Neurospora crassa OR74A: one gene and its partner. The protein of the gene in region 2 interacts with the protein of the main gene of each other region in a biochemical or structural test. Links are inferred from orthologs where the notes say so. Each region holds a gene or a part of one and is shown on either strand. Other genes may lie near its edges.

Region 1 (3,600 bases), on a different chromosome or scaffold from region 2:
CACGGCAGTATCTTGGAAGCTTTCTGATTTCCTTATTACATACTTGTGCTTCCCTTTCCCATCTCTTATCTTCTCTCCTTTTCGAAAACGTCAATCTGAAGATCTTTTCATCCATACGTTAGGTTAGTTAGCTGTCTGTCTTATCCAGGATACGCCCAGTTGCTGTCCGGTCTACTCCTTGACAAGTGCATTTTTCTTTTAGCTCCCTTCGCATTCCAAGGACTTGACCCGCCGAGATCGTTGAATCACATTGCTGAGAATGACACAATCATTGTCTCTCGCTGTGTTTGCAGCTGCGGCACTTTTTGCGACTAAGGGTCTTGCGAGCAACTTTACCGTTAGCAATGGCCAGATTTTCACCCCTGGTTTTGTTATCGTCGATTCCCCCCAGCCGGACACGCCTCTTGGCGGAGGTTAGTACTATTAGTACCCGGCTGGCTGTCGGCAAAGGACTTGAGGACTTGCTACTAATAAGCTTCAACTTGTGTAGACAATGTCGAGATTGCGCTCGATGTTTCTGCCAATGGCAAGCTTCCTCTACCGCCCTACGGCGACGACGCTTCCAGCCAAATCTACAACATCAACATCTTCCTTTACAGCTACGTAACGGGCCGAAACTTGACCATCACCAACGGTACTGCGTCGGCCAACAATGCCACACTCGGTGATATCATGCTCTCCGAGCCTGGTAGCACCGTGAAGCATGTCCGGTGGACATGGCCCGACTGCATGGTTGGCGATGGTACGAATGGGAACGATCGTGGCAGTTACAATGTGGGTTTTCCAAATAGTCAGCTTAAGAGTGTGTTGATAGCCATTTCACTGACAATTCAAAAGATCTCCATCCACCAACGCTTCAGACTCAATGGCGAGAACCACTACACGATATTTGATCTTCCCGTCTCTGTGACCAACAGCATCAGCAAAAGCGACGACCGCCCGTCTTGCCAATCACTTGATAACCCGTTACTGGCGCCCGAGGACATCGATTGGACAGACACTAACGAACTCGGCGCCCTCTTTGCTCCTGGTGATTCGACGGTTATTGAGACGTCGAATGTTGGTAGTGGTGCTGGGCTGGCGAGCTGCAAGCATGCACTTAACTTGTTGTGTGTGGTGGGCATTAGCTGTGCTCTGTTGTTAAGCTAGGCTCTAGACTTGCTTGTCGTCCAATAATCAAAAAGGTGGCTGTGAGATGACATAGAATCATCTGCAAGGATACCAAAACACCACGTACTCTTCATGCATATGTTCTTTTTGAAATCATATATTTGCTCTGCGTGGCTCATAATTTTAGTACTAGTTCGTGTCTGGTCAGATTTATTGTCTTCGAATGAGTTCACATAAAGTCATCTTCATCACAAAGATATTGTTAATGAAAGTAGCATTGAGGCATCAGATAAGTTTAATATATGTTTATTTTTTTACTTTTTTTTTTGTAGGGGTACTTCAAACTTATTCCTTGAACAAGGCTGGCGTGCTTGTGATAGCAAGTGGGTCCAGATTAAGTGGGACAGGATCTGCGATCTGCAAGGCTGATAACGAAAAAAAAAGTTCCCAACCTCAAAACAAACCAAACACTAGCGACTGGTCGTGGCATTTCCGTCCATTTCAACTCCATTTAACCAGGACCGGATCTCACAGCAAAAGTTCCCGTTACTGGGCTTTGCGCAATCTCCTAAATCAGAACAAAATGGCGCCACAGACGAAAGACGAAGTTTCCGACGACAACGAATTCGTCGGATTCGACGAGGAGAGCGATGAGGAGATGCACGACAATGATGGCATGTCAGTAGACGACGACGACGAGGACGACTCCGATATGGATTCAATTGCCGACCCGAGGAAAAAGTACGATATTGAAGAGAAGGACTCTGACGAAGAAGACCTCGAACGATTCGTCTTGGGCAATAACGACACCTTCCGCGCCCAGCTTTTCCGCGACGATTTCCTCGCCGATATTACCGATTCCAAGGCTCTCATTAGGACCGACAAGCAAGATGACACGACTGGCCTCGAACATGTCGACGATAACGCCCTCTTCGCGTTCGATACTGGCGTTCCCGGTAATAAGAAGCAGACAGAGGCCGCGCCCTCTGCGCTAGAGGCTTACGAGCAGAAGGAGGACCCCCCAGCGTGGGAGGACAGCGATGACGAGCGGTTGACAGTATCCCTTGCGGCTGCCTCGCGGTTGCGCAAGCTGCGTCAGTCCGAAGAGGAGGATGTCGTGAACGGCACCGAGTACGCGCGCCGCCTGCGCTCGCAGTACCTCCGACTATACCCCCTTCCGGAGTGGGCCAAGGAATCCTCGGCCGCCAGCCAGCGCCGGAGGAGAAGATCTTCAGCCGCCGGTTCCTCCTCCGAGGAAGACAGTGACGCCGAAGACGACATCGAATCCGCCCTCCCTCTCGAGACCTTCCTCCGCGACGTCAACTCTTTCAACGCCAGCGCCGATGCCCGTGGCAGCAAGCGCCGCAAGCTGCGCCCCGAGACCATCGACATTCAGCGCTCGCGCGACATCCCCGACATTCACAAGCAGTCCGTCAGCTCGTTGTCCTTCCACCCCAAGCACCCCATCCTGCTCTCGTGCAGCGTCTCCTCCATCATGTACCTACACCAAGTTGACCCGACCGCGCACCCGGTTCCGAACCCGGCCCTCACGTCGGTGCAAGTCAAGCGCACCGACCTTCGGCGCTCCGAGTTCCTCGGTCCCGATGGCGACGACGTCATCTTCGCCGGTCGCCGGCGCTACTTCCACAGCTGGAACCTCTCGTCGGGTGCCGTCAAGAAGATCACCCAGATCCAGGGCCACCAGCGCGAGCAGCGTACCATGGAGCACTTCCGTCCCTCGCCCTGCGGACGCTACCTGGGGCTCATCGCCTCCGAGAAGAAGGGCGGCGGCATGATCAACATCGTCAACGTGCGCACGATGCAGTGGATTGCGCAGGCGCGCACCAATGGCCGCGGCGGCATCTCCGATTTCGCCTGGTGGGGCAACGGCAACGGCCTCTCCATCCTCGGCAAGAACGGCCAGGTCACTGAGTGGAGCATGCTCAGCCGGCGCACGGTCGGCGTTTGGCGCGACGAAGGATCGATCGGCGGCACGGTGATTGCGCTGGGCGGGCAGAAGGGCACCGGCCCTAGCCAGATTGGTGGCGATCGCTGGGTGGCTGTGGGCTCGAATAGCGGCATTATGAACATTTACGATCGGAATGATTTGGTTGAGCCTGTTAAGAAGGAGGGTGGTGCGTCGGCGTCCAAGGAGGAGACAGTGCAGATTAAGAGCATCCCCACCCCGCAGAGGACGTTTGAGCAGCTCACGACGCCCATCTCAGTGGTGACGTTCGCGCCGGACGGTCAGCTATTGGCGTTTGGTAGCTTCCACAAGAAGGACGCGTTAAGGCTGGTGCACTTGCCTAGCTGCACCGTTTACAGGAACTGGCCTACGGAGCAAACGCCTTTGGGTAGGATCACTGCTGTGGCGTTTAGCCACCAGAATGGTGGTGATGTGTTGGCGGTGGGCAATGATGTGGGCAAGATTAGGATGTGGGAGATTAGGAGCTAGATCTGCGCATTGTGTAGTGCGTTGAGTTGGCGATA
Region 2 (11,475 bases):
TTCCGTAGTCCTCCTCAAGCATAGTCTTTGGTGGAGTGAACACCCATTCGAGGAATTGACGGTTGTGGAGGGCATCGAACTTCATGGTATCGTAGAGTTCCGAAATCTTGCTAGGGTCAACCTTTTCGCCGTCGCAGAACTCGGCGAACAGCTTCTCCCAACGCTCCTTGAACAGCTCGGCGTCCTCACCACAGCACCATCTGGCCTGGATGCTGTTCACCGCGTTCACATGTGATGAGCCAAGTGACGACAGCGACGAGCTGGAAGTCTCACTGATCATCTCCATACTAGGGTTGTTGATCGCATTGAGAGAGTTCACAGCACCGCTGTAAAGCTTGGCGTAGTTGTGCTGCATGACCTTGCGGTGGAAGTTCATGAGCTGGACCACGCGTGTCTGTACCTCGGACGGCTCAGGCATGTTTTCAGGCCAGGCAAACTGGGGCGGCCGCTCATTGCCCTTCCGCAAAAGACCCTTCAACTTCTTCTTCACCTTATCCATCTCGTCCTTGGCAGCGTTCGAGTCGTCAAGAAGGTCCTTACGGATGGTGATAAAATCGGGAGGTAATTCCTTCTTCTTGCAGAAGCTAGCTGCCCAGATCTGAGCGCTGGTAACGACACGACGCTCGCTGCTGCTGAAGACGTGGACCTCCTCCAGGATATCACGGTTCATGAGACCAAGATCACTACGCATGCTCTCACCGAGTTCCTGTGCCTGGTAGCGGGCGGAGTGTGTCGGCTCGCCGCCCCATTTCACAATGAGCTGAAGCTTATCCAGCACCAAGCTCTCCTCGGCAGCAGTGAACTTGGACATGGTAACGCCTGACAAGGAATCGTGCCTCTTGACTGGCCTACGAGGCTTGGAGTTACCGTCCTTGTCGACACTGTCACCTTCACCGGGTGCAGCATCCTCCTTGGCCTCTTGGTCAGGCTTTTCGCCCTCCTTCTCTTTGTCTTCCTTCTTGGGCTTGTCTTTCTTCCTGAACATTGGCTTTATTTGGACCTTGGTACCAGCCCATCCGCCCTTCTTCACAAGGACGTTGCGGAGTGACTTGAGCTTGACGGGGTCTTCAATACCAGCCTTCAGGGCCACATCAACAGCATCAAGTACACTTGCCAGCGCCGGCTCACCAATCAGGAGCACTTCTTCTTGGTGACCCTTGAGTAGCTGAATGAAGGGATCTGTGTGGAACGTGAATTTGTACTTCTGCTTCGGCGTACGATCAGCGTGGCGGATGACAGATACCACACCCTTGAGCTTCCAGCTAGGCTTCGGGGGAGGCGGCGGCGGTGTCTCCTCATGCTCATGCTCCTGTTCAGCAATAGCGACAGAAGTGAGCGAAGGGGTAGTGGGCAGCGTTGATGGCGCTGTGGGTGGTGCACTCTCTCCGTACTGACTGTTGCGCGGGCTGCTCGGCTTGGTTGACAGCTTAGAGACAAGCGAGGTATCTGACTTGACGTGCGGTGGCGCATCGTGGTGTCTGGTGTTGTCCGACCTCTGCTTGTCCAAGCTCACCTTACCCTGGGCTGCCGCCAACGCGCTGAGTTCCTTCTCCTTGTTCATGAGAGCTGCGCGAGCGGCAAGAGGATCAGGCACCTCGGAGATGGCGGGAGACGGGCACGGCGAAGGTATTCCACCCCTGCGCTGCCTCTCGGCGATAAACATTTCCCTGAGGATTTTGGCGCACTGGTTGTAATAGTCCTCATTATCTTTGACGAAACTCCAGCCGTTCACGTCAATGACATAACTCTTGCCCCCCGCCCGCAATAAGTCGAAACCGCAAACGCGTTGTCCGAAGGCTGTGCTGATTTTGCTCGCAATTTCCTTTTCCTCGTCGCTCAAGGCTGTGACATAGCGGACCTCTTTTCCATGCGTGTTTCTTCGCACGACGCCGTCCACAACAGGGGACTTGCGAGTCTCAGCGTGGCAGTATGTTGGCCCAACAGTATACGCTTTCACGTCCTCGGCATTGTCGACCTGCATGAACTTTTCGTAAATGAAACTCTCGTCGGGCTGAGTGATGCACCTGGGCACGTTGAGATCCTCCACATATTCACTGCTCTTGTTGCCGATCTTGCGGAAAAGCTTCCTTGCACCACCGCCAGCGTAGGAAGGAAAGTAGATGATGATATTGTGGTCTTCACCGCTCGTAGGCTTCTCGACAAACGGCTTCTTGATGAGCGTTCCGTCGACAGAGAGAACATCGCCGTTTTCGAGGAGCTCGATCTTGCGCGGCGCGACCTGCTTGGCGTACTCTGGATCCGTATTAGTGGGCTCAAACTGTACACCGCTGACGTCCTTGATGAGCTTGCAAATTTCGGGGGTCAACAGGTGAGGGCCACCGTCCCGGTTCACTTCGATGCGCTGAGGGGTGGGGACATTGATGCGGTCCAAGAGGCGAAGGCAGAGGCGGCGGTCCCATAGTATCTTTTGCATAGGGACATCGTTAACGCAGAAGGGCTTGCGTGCCTTGACGTAGGCGATGGCCTTGTCAAGGGGGAAGCCGTCCGAGTAAAAGGAGATTAAATAGTCGCACATGGGCCAGTTTTCGACCTCTGCATCACCACCCAACAGTTAGTCATTGTTCCTCGTCCATGATGATGCGGCAACAGCGCAGGGTCGACGCACCTTCATCAAGAATCACTTTGTCGCCAAAGACACAAACATCAAATTCGCCGTTCTGAATCAAGCGGTTGAGGATATTCCTGCTGGGCTTGCTCCTCGCCTTCACGTCCAAGGCACACACACCGATAACACCGTAGGGCGCAGGCTTGTGCTCCTCCTTGGGAGGCCGGTGTTCATGGCCTGATACCACTCTTTCACCATTGGGACTCTGATTTCCGCTAGCAGCGGTACTACCACTGAACCTGCGCTTTGCCCTGCTCCTTGACCTGGGTGGAATTGCGCGCGGTGTGGGTGGTGCGGGTGGTGCGCCGTTAGCAACAGCCGTGTCCACAGGAGCAGGAACACCGTGGCCGTGGGCCTGCGAAGTATGGTGATGGTTTCCCCTGCTCTGGCCATCCTTGAGCAAGTCGCCCATCTGCTGAAAATGCGATTCCCGCGGCGAGAGCTGGTGGGTGCCTGGCGCGCCTTGGCTTCCCGTGGTAACGGTGGTTGTCGAGACGCTGGCTTCTGCAGTCTGGGCGGTGCTGGCAGGTGGGATGGCTCCCGATTTGGAGGGGGCGGAGGAAGACATCAAGCCTGATACCACTCGGGCAGGGCCGGTGGCGCCGCTGGTGCTGCCGCTCTCGGAACTGGGAACCCCACGGGCCGAAGCTAGAGAGTATATGGACGAAATACTCTTTCGCTTGTTGCTGTCTGACTGGCTGTACTCGAAGCCAAAGAAGGACGAGTTTCTGCGGCGGGAGTGGTAGGGGTATTCGCGTTGGGTGGGAGTAGTGGGATTCTGCAGAGCGGGATCGGGGAGTTGGCGTTGTTGTTGTTGTTGTGGTGGTGGTGGTTGAGGTGATTCGGCGTTCGTGTTACCGGTCCCGGGGCGTAGACGGGGAGTCTCCGAGTCTTCGATCGTAGCTGAACCGGACGGAATTAGTGATGACGGTAGTGGAGCAAGAATGATTATGACTCTGACCTTGATTCTGGCCGTTATCGCCGGCGGCCAAGGCGAAATCTCGGGGAGAAAACAGGGGTGGGACCGCCGAGGCGCTGCCAAAGCTGCCGGGCACATGTACTCCACCACCCAAGTCCGAGTATCCTTGGCTGTTATTTGCGTCGCTCCAGGCGTCCGAGATGAAGGAGCGGAACGAATTGGACGATTCGCGGCGGCTGTGCGAGAGCGAGGCGCGCGGGCTCTTTGCTAATGACGACGATGCTTGTGGCAGGGCGACGGGAGGGGGCATCGACACATTGGCGCGATCAGCATGAACAGATTGGCTGCCAGGCTCAGAGTACCTGCTCTTTCGGCTAGCTATGCTGTTGGTAAAGGAAGAGGCGAGACTGTGTCGTCGTTTGGATTTTCCGGTACTTGTGATGCCGCTGTCACTGGTGATGGGGATGGCGCCAGGGACTGCGATGCTCGACGACGGTGTGCCTGCCATGTCTTCGGCTTCTTCTACAGGCACGTCCAAGCCGCCGGTTGCTGCTTCTGATGTCGCGACAGGAGTGTCTGGGTCTTGGTCCGGATGAGTGGAAGAGGAAGCTTCGGAGGCGGAGGACGGCACGCTGTCGGCGGACACTGGCGTACGATCGAGGGAGGTGGGTTCGAGGTGTGCTTCCATGGCTCCTGCGGGAAGCTGCAGGTGTGCAGCCTATGGATTTATATATCGTCGGCGATAGCAGTGGCAGTGGTGATGATCGGCTAGACTATTGTGATGCCGCCCAATGGACTCGATGTTGGGCGTCGCTTGGATTGGGAGAAAACGGGGAACTGCACTTCTTATTTGGTGGATGTCTAGACTAGACTGGACAGCTCCTCAAAGCAAATAAAGGATAAAAGAAAAAGGAAAGAAGATAGAGGTTAGAGCGATTGGGCCCCAATGGCTTTCAAGGTCCCAACTGAACTAAGCAATTGATAACCGCAAGTGTTTCGACGACGGGAGATGGGGATGTCAATCTGTCTTTGATCCTTTTCTTCTTCCCTTTTCCCCCTCCCTCTAGCTCCAGATGGATGTTTCAGTTGTCATCCAAGCACAGCTCATAAGAACAACATGTAATCATCAAGAAAGCCATTGGTACACAACTGGACAAAGGTGGATAGCTTTGTGGCGACACGAGCAGAGACAACAGCTAGGTAGGTAGCCCAAGTTGGGATGATGCCCAAGCGTTGTTTGCGCGGGGAGGGAGAAAGGAAAAAAAAAAAAAAAAAAAAAAAAAAAAAAAAAAAAAAAAAAAGAAAGAAAGCAAGAGGGAAAGGCGGCATGTGGGCAATTTCCATAAACGGACCCGGTAGTACCTACTAGTCCCAATTCTGAACGTCTACGTGTAAGTGCATCTGGATCCCACCATTAGTTCATTCCCTTACACCGGAGTTTTGGTAGCTCATGGCAGAAAGGCTGGCACTTTCTCGGGTACTACATGGCCATCAACCGAATGAATGGTCGTTAGAATACACTTTTCATGCTACCTTTGGAAACTAGACTAACTCTCAGGCAATTTTGCATGGAGAAATTCCCAGGTAACTCTGGCTGATGTCTTTTCGACTTTTTTTTTTACCATCCCTCTCGAAATTCTGTGATGGCCTTTCCTGACTAAAGCGAGCCGTGTTGGACTGTCTAATTCGGTTATATTTACAGCCACTTCGTCGTCATAACTGGAGGTCCAGTCTCTTTCGTCATTGGCGTGCTTGGATAGACACAGGAAAAAAAAAACCTCTCTAGTGATCGACAATGATGGACACCAAAGAGCCCATTGCGCGTTGACTACTGGTACCAGAAGGTGGGTGTCATGCCAAACTAAACCCTTGCTGGCGCCCTATGATATACTGCGATAGCCGCAGAGAAAATCCAGAAGAACGCTGAAGGTGGGTGTCATTGCGAACCGTATGCCGTGGTACCTCTATGGGTGGACGACCTGAGGTGGGTTCGATGGACGGGATGATGACGCCGCAGGCAACCTAGCATTTCGACGCTGAAGCGGACAGGGGATGGTGATGCTGTGCTGTGCTGTGCTGTGCTGTGTTTCACAAGCAAGAGCTTTTTCGCCCAGTTGGCGGGGCAGATGGAGGTGTGGGGTTTACTGCAGTTTGGAACACAGTCTCGACTTCTGCGATGATGGGAAACGGTAATCCCGGTAACTGAAAGGCTGCAAAATGCGGCCGGGATCGCAGGAGGTTCCTACTATGCAGTACACAGATACACAGTGCTGGATTTAAGCTCTGTGGGTCCTAGCCAGACGGTGGTCCCACATGCGTCCAGCTTTCATGCTACCCCACATGGCGAGGCAGACCAATCACATGAAGCTCCCACTTGCCTGCCCCAACCGACCCCAAACTGTGGCTGAAAATTTCTGGTCCACCGCGACAAGGCTACTATTATCGAAATCTTCAAACTGCGACTTTCAACAAGGCTTTGCAACTGAAAGGCATTCGCAGACATCGTGGTAGTTGGCAGCATATGCCACTCGACGACATGATGCCGCATTCCGATCGCGAAATCACATCCGCCAAGCGGCAGAAGCTCAATGCCTCTGTCGTCAAGTCCAAGGCGCCTCAGAAGAAGAAGAAGGGTTCCTCCATCTTTGCTCCCTTCAGAGTACGTCCCTAATAGCCGGTCGCATGAAGTCCTCAAACTAACACCAAACTCACCACTCATAGACTGTAGGCTTGGTATCTCCAACAAGCGTCCCCTTTACCTCCATCCCTCTCGGCAAGACCACCTTCCAGATCACTACCTCGGTCGGCCGCTCCCTCCAGACCTATGACCTAAAGAGAGGTCTCAATCTCGTCTTCGTTACCCGCCCCCAGACTCCCGCCGACATTACCGCCACATATGCTTGGAAGGAAAAGGTATTCGCCGCTTGGGGTAACCCTCAAAATGGCGAGGCCCAAGGTATCTGGGTTTATCAGCGCGGAAAGAAGGTAGCCGAGCTTGAGCTGCCCGCCGACCTCAACCAGCCCATCAAGCAGATCCTCATCTTCGGTTCCTGGATTGTTGCATGCGCCCAAACCCGCCTCGAAGTATGGAAGTCGGCCACCCTCGAACACTACACGACCATCTTTTCCGTTGCCGCAAAGAAGGGCGACAACGAGCTCACTGGTGGCGTAGTCAACATGCCTACCTTCCTCAACAAGATCTTGGTCGGTCGCAAGGACGGTTGGGTAGAGATCTGGAACGTCAGCACCGGCAAGCTCATCTACACCATCCTTCCGCCCTCTCCCGACGCTGGATCTGTCACCTGTATGGAGCCTACCCCGGCACTTTCGCTTCTCGCCATCGCCTACTCGAACGGCCCTCTCGTCATCCACAACGTCCTTACCGACAAGGCCTCCCTCAAGTTGATGGCCGGATCCGAACACGCCCCCGTTACAAGCATCTCCTTCCGAACCGACGGTCAGGGTGCTGGTCAAGATGGTACAAAAGATGGCGTCATGGCTACCGCCACAAGCATTGGTGGAGATGTCACATTCTGGGATCTCAACAAGGGCGGCAGAGTGATGGGTGTACTCCGGAGCGCCCATAATCCCCCATCACACACCGACAAGACTGTGCGCGGAGGCATCAGCAAGGTTGAGTTCCTCCCAGGACAGCCCGTTATCATGACCAGTGGTTTGGACAACTCGCTCAAGTCCTGGATCTTCGACGAATCGCCCTTCTCGCCCGTCCCCCGTATCCTTCACATGCGCAGCGGCCATGCCGCCCCCGTCAACTGCCTGCAATTCTTGCCAACCGATTTCGATGGCGCCGAGGCCGGCAACAAGTGGCTTCTCAGTGGTGGCAAGGACAGGAGTCTGTGGGGCTGGAGTTTGCGCCGCGATGGCCAGAGCTCTGAGCTCAGTCAGGGTGCTCTTCGCAAAAAGGCCAAGAAGGTGGGTATTCTTGCTAATACCGCCCTCGGCGGCCACGGCCCGACTACATCTTTGGACGACCTCAAGGCTCCCGAAATCACATGCATCGCCTCCTCGCTCAACCGCGATGGCGGCATGGGCGCTATGCCCGGTAGGCAGGTCATCTGGGACAAGGGCAATGACAAGAGCAAGCCGACCAAGTCCGAGCTCGCTGCTATGACCGGCTGGGAAAGCGTAGTAACAGCTCATAAGAACGACCCCTGGGCTCGCACCTGGTTCTGGGGCCGCAAGCGTGCTGGTAGGTGGGCGTTCAAGACCGGAGATGGCGAAAATGTTTCTACCGTGGCTATCAGCCCTTGCGGCAGTTTCGCTCTTGTTGGCTCCGTTGGTGGTAGCTTAGACATGTTCAACCTCCAATCCGGCCGTCACAAGCAACGCTTCCCCTCCCGACTCACTCCCGCCCAGATGCGCCAGTTGAAGATGCAGCAACTTAAGGCTCTCGACAAGGTGAGCCAGCTCGAGAAGCGCGCCTCCTCCAAGACCTCCTTTGCCCCCGGCTCGGGCAAGCACACCAAGTCCGTAACCGGCATCGTGGTCGACCCGCTAAACCGCTTCGTGATTTCCTGCTCTCTCGACGGCACCGTCAAGTTCTGGGACTTTGTCACGGGCAACCTAGTCGACGAGATTGACTGGGCGCCCATGGTGCAGATCACGGGCTGTCGCTACCACGCCGGCAACGATCTCATCGCTTTCGCGTGCGACGACAATTCGATCCGCGTTGTCGACATCGAGACCAAGCAGACCATCAGAGAGTTCTGGGGCTGCCGCGACACCATTAACGACTTCACCTTCTCCAACGACGGCCGGTGGATCGTGGCCGCCTCGCAGGACCGCGTCGTCCGCGTCTGGGACCTGCCGACGGCTCACCTCATCGACGCCTTCCGGCTCGAGAAACCCTGCACCGCCATCGCCTTTTCCAACACGGGCGAATACCTCGCCGGCGCCACCGAGGGCGAGCTGGGCGTGCACATCTGGACCAACAGAACGCTGTTCAGACACGTGCCGACCAGACAAATATCCGAGAAAGACATTGCCGAAATCTCGGCCGGACCTACCAGCTCAGGCGAGGGCGGTCAAGGTCTCATCGAGGCGGCCTTTGAGGATGAACAGGAGGACGAAGAAGATGAGGGCGTGTCTGCGCCGGTCCTCGATCAGCTCAGCGCCGACATGGTGACGCTCAGTCTGGTGCCCAAAAGCAGGTGGCAGACGCTGCTGCACATTGACCTGATCAAGCAGCGCAACAAGCCCAAGGAGCCGCCCAAGGCGCCTGAGAAGGCGCCCTTCTTTTTGCCTTCGCTCCGGGATGGGACGACGAACCCACTGCTGTTGACGGAGGGCGAAAAGAAGGATGAGGAGGAGAGCCGAATTTCGAAATTGACGCAACTCGAGACGACAAGGACGTATCAGACGTTTACGGCAAAGTTGTTGGAGGGTGCCGAGACGGGTGATTGTAAGGTTTTTTTTTTTTTTTTTTTTTTTTTTTTTTTTTTTTTTTTTTTTTTTTTTTTTTTCCCTTTCTTTTATTACTTCCCTTTTTTCATCCGGTTTATTTTACTAACCATCACCGTTTGATAGACACCCCCTTCATCACCCACCTCAAATCCCTCTCCCCCTCCACCGCCGATCTCGAACTCCGCTCCCTTTCCATCGGCGGCCTTGATCCGGAGTCTTCTGAAGATAGCAACGAACTCCTCCACTTCATCCGCGCCATGACGCAACGCCTCGCCCAACGCCGCGACTACGAGCTCACGCAAGCGTGGATGACGGTCTTTTTGCGACTGCACTTTGACGTGATTATGGAGAGCGAGACGCTGCTGAAGGAGTTGGGCAAGTGGAAGGAGCAGCAGGAAAGGGAAAAGAAGCGGTTGGATGATTTGGTGGGCTACTGTGGTGGTGTGGTTGGGTTCTTGAGGAGTCCTAGGACATAACCATAGACATGGGTCCAGCTTAGTCTAGATGAGGGATGGGAAAGGAGGGAAGGAAAAGGGAAGGGAAAGGGAAAGGGGAAGGGAAAGGGAAGGCTTGCATGATGGCTACCTATGAGCGAGTGAGTAGCTGTAAAAGTCGGTTGGGATTGTGGAACATATGATATGAGCGAATCCGATCTATTTTTGATAGTATTTACATTATGGGTCTTTTTTTTTTTTTTTTTTTCTTTTAAACAACTAGCCCATGTTTATCTCTTATTTGCTAGGATGGATGGATGGATGGCTGGATGAATGGGAAAAATTGGGATAGATAAAAAGTGTTATCGACGTATACCTAACCAATACCAGTACATCTATCTCTCTTGTCATGTCACGTCAACTGAATCTACTATGGTACTTCCTAACTTCCTCGTCTGAATTTGTAAAACGGTTCGGTTCCCTATGAAAGGTATGGTACCTAGATAAACGCATTGCGCGATTAGAATTGTTATGTATATATTGTTGTTGTTGTTATTCATTATAAAGCTGAGTGAGTGGTTAGGTCTGTCTGTCTGTCTGTTTGTACGAGTCCCACCACCGATGTTTCGATATCAAACCAGATGAAATACACGTATCGGGATGGTTACCGACTGGATGCAAGACATTTATTGCGCTTGATGAAGTAAGTAACTTAAGTAAGATACTCTCGTCGATCGAGTTATCGATCGGCTATGAGTTACGTTAGATACTTACGTGGTGCTTGGTAAATGGTAGTACGGCTGGGTCCCTTTTTTTTTTTTTTTTTTTTTTCCTCATTTCAGGTAGTCAATAAATAACAGAAGTTTCTCATCCTCCCTCGTTTTGTCTCAATTATCTCGAGACCTTCTGGAGGTCGTTGTCTCTATGTTTTCAGTTTTGCCGACCGTCACCAGAACCGACCGCGTAACATCGGATAGGTAGTTTGTGGTATCACGGGATGATGCCAGGCAAAGTTAGGAAATAATTCAACGACAGTATAAGACATAGACTATGCTAGAAATGCTAAATACGCAAATTCAAAGATAAATTGCTGTTACTATAGCTGCCAATCAGTGTGTCTGTGATTTGTTTTGATTTATATGTATGGGGGGAAAACTTATTATGACTTCGAGTTCAGTAGTGCGTGATGACTTGTAATAAAGACAAAATTTCTCCCACCACCCAGCATCATCATCACCCCACCTCTCACAGAAGCTCCCTTCACTTCCACCCACTTCCTTCTTCCGTCGCTGACCCCTCTTATGACAACCAAGCAAACACGCAAAATACTTACACACAAAAGAAGGAGAGAGAGAACGTTGGGGCAAAGAAGAACAGCTGCATGCAGCAGCTGTAACTTCAAAGAACCTGATCTTTTCTCAATGCCCGCAGCCTTCTCACCTTGCAATTACCACTCGCCAAAACACCAAATACACTACCGATTCCACTGAATCGCTCGACTCTCCTTGCCTCAGTTATGGACAGACTCTCCTCAGAGTTCAGCGTCGTCAATGGCCCATCACCGGTCGATGAGGAATCCTAATCCTAGTTCCCTCCCTCCCAGCCGACCCAGCTCCTGGGCATGACTCTCCAAATCTTGACCTCACCACTCCTCAGATCATCAAGCTTGAAGCTCTCGACCTTGACCTTCTTGCTCTCTCTACCCTGCTCCCACACTCTGACCTTCTTCTTGGTGCCATCCCACTCGGCCACGATACCGACGTGGTCTGGCTTACCAACCTCCATGGTATACTTGGCATGCATGGCGCCGTGCTTGCCCTGGAACTTGGCGTTTCTGACGGAGATGATGTCGCCGGGGCGGATCTCGTCGTTCTGAGTAGTGCTCGCGTTGGCCAGGTTGGAGTACACCAGGGCGCCATAGGCGCGCGTGCCGACGGGCAGGAGGGCGTCCTTGAAGGGACGGAGGAGCTCGTAGATCAGTGCTTGGGGAGTACCGTCACCGACGACGGTTTCCTTCTTACCGGACACGGCCTCGCTGATAGCCCGTCCGAAGCGCTCGTAGCTCTGCTCAA

The links. The genes of interacting proteins can lie anywhere in the genome.
Region 1: the proteins of NCU07011 (region 2) and NCU03018 form a complex in vitro, tested with the Saccharomyces cerevisiae proteins (2 studies listed by BioGRID, with this or other methods). The link is inferred for Neurospora crassa OR74A from reciprocal best matches to the Saccharomyces cerevisiae genes UTP21 and UTP18.

The regions. Positions count from the first base shown.
Region 1 is NC_026501.1:8,426,037-8,429,636, forward strand, and holds the start of NCU03018 (small nucleolar ribonucleoprotein complex subunit), read left to right. Parts: upstream 1-1,407; 5' UTR 1,408-1,693; coding exon 1,694-3,565; 3' UTR 3,566-3,600. Other genes in the region: NCU03019 (hypothetical protein), read left to right, coding at 260-413, 491-774, 838-1,149. UniProt on the Saccharomyces cerevisiae protein: Involved in nucleolar processing of pre-18S ribosomal RNA and ribosome assembly.
Region 2 is NC_026504.1:4,893,809-4,905,283, forward strand, and holds NCU07011 (WD repeat containing protein 36), read left to right. Parts: upstream 1-6,002; 5' UTR 6,003-6,066; coding exon 6,067-6,204; intron 6,205-6,266; coding exon 6,267-8,967; intron 8,968-9,092; coding exon 9,093-9,445; 3' UTR 9,446-9,803; downstream 9,804-11,475. Other genes in the region: NCU07010 (cortical actin cytoskeleton protein asp1), read right to left, coding at 1-2,553, 2,627-3,529, 3,588-4,233; NCU07012 (hypothetical protein), read right to left, coding at 10,988-11,475. UniProt on the Saccharomyces cerevisiae protein: Involved in nucleolar processing of pre-18S ribosomal RNA and ribosome assembly.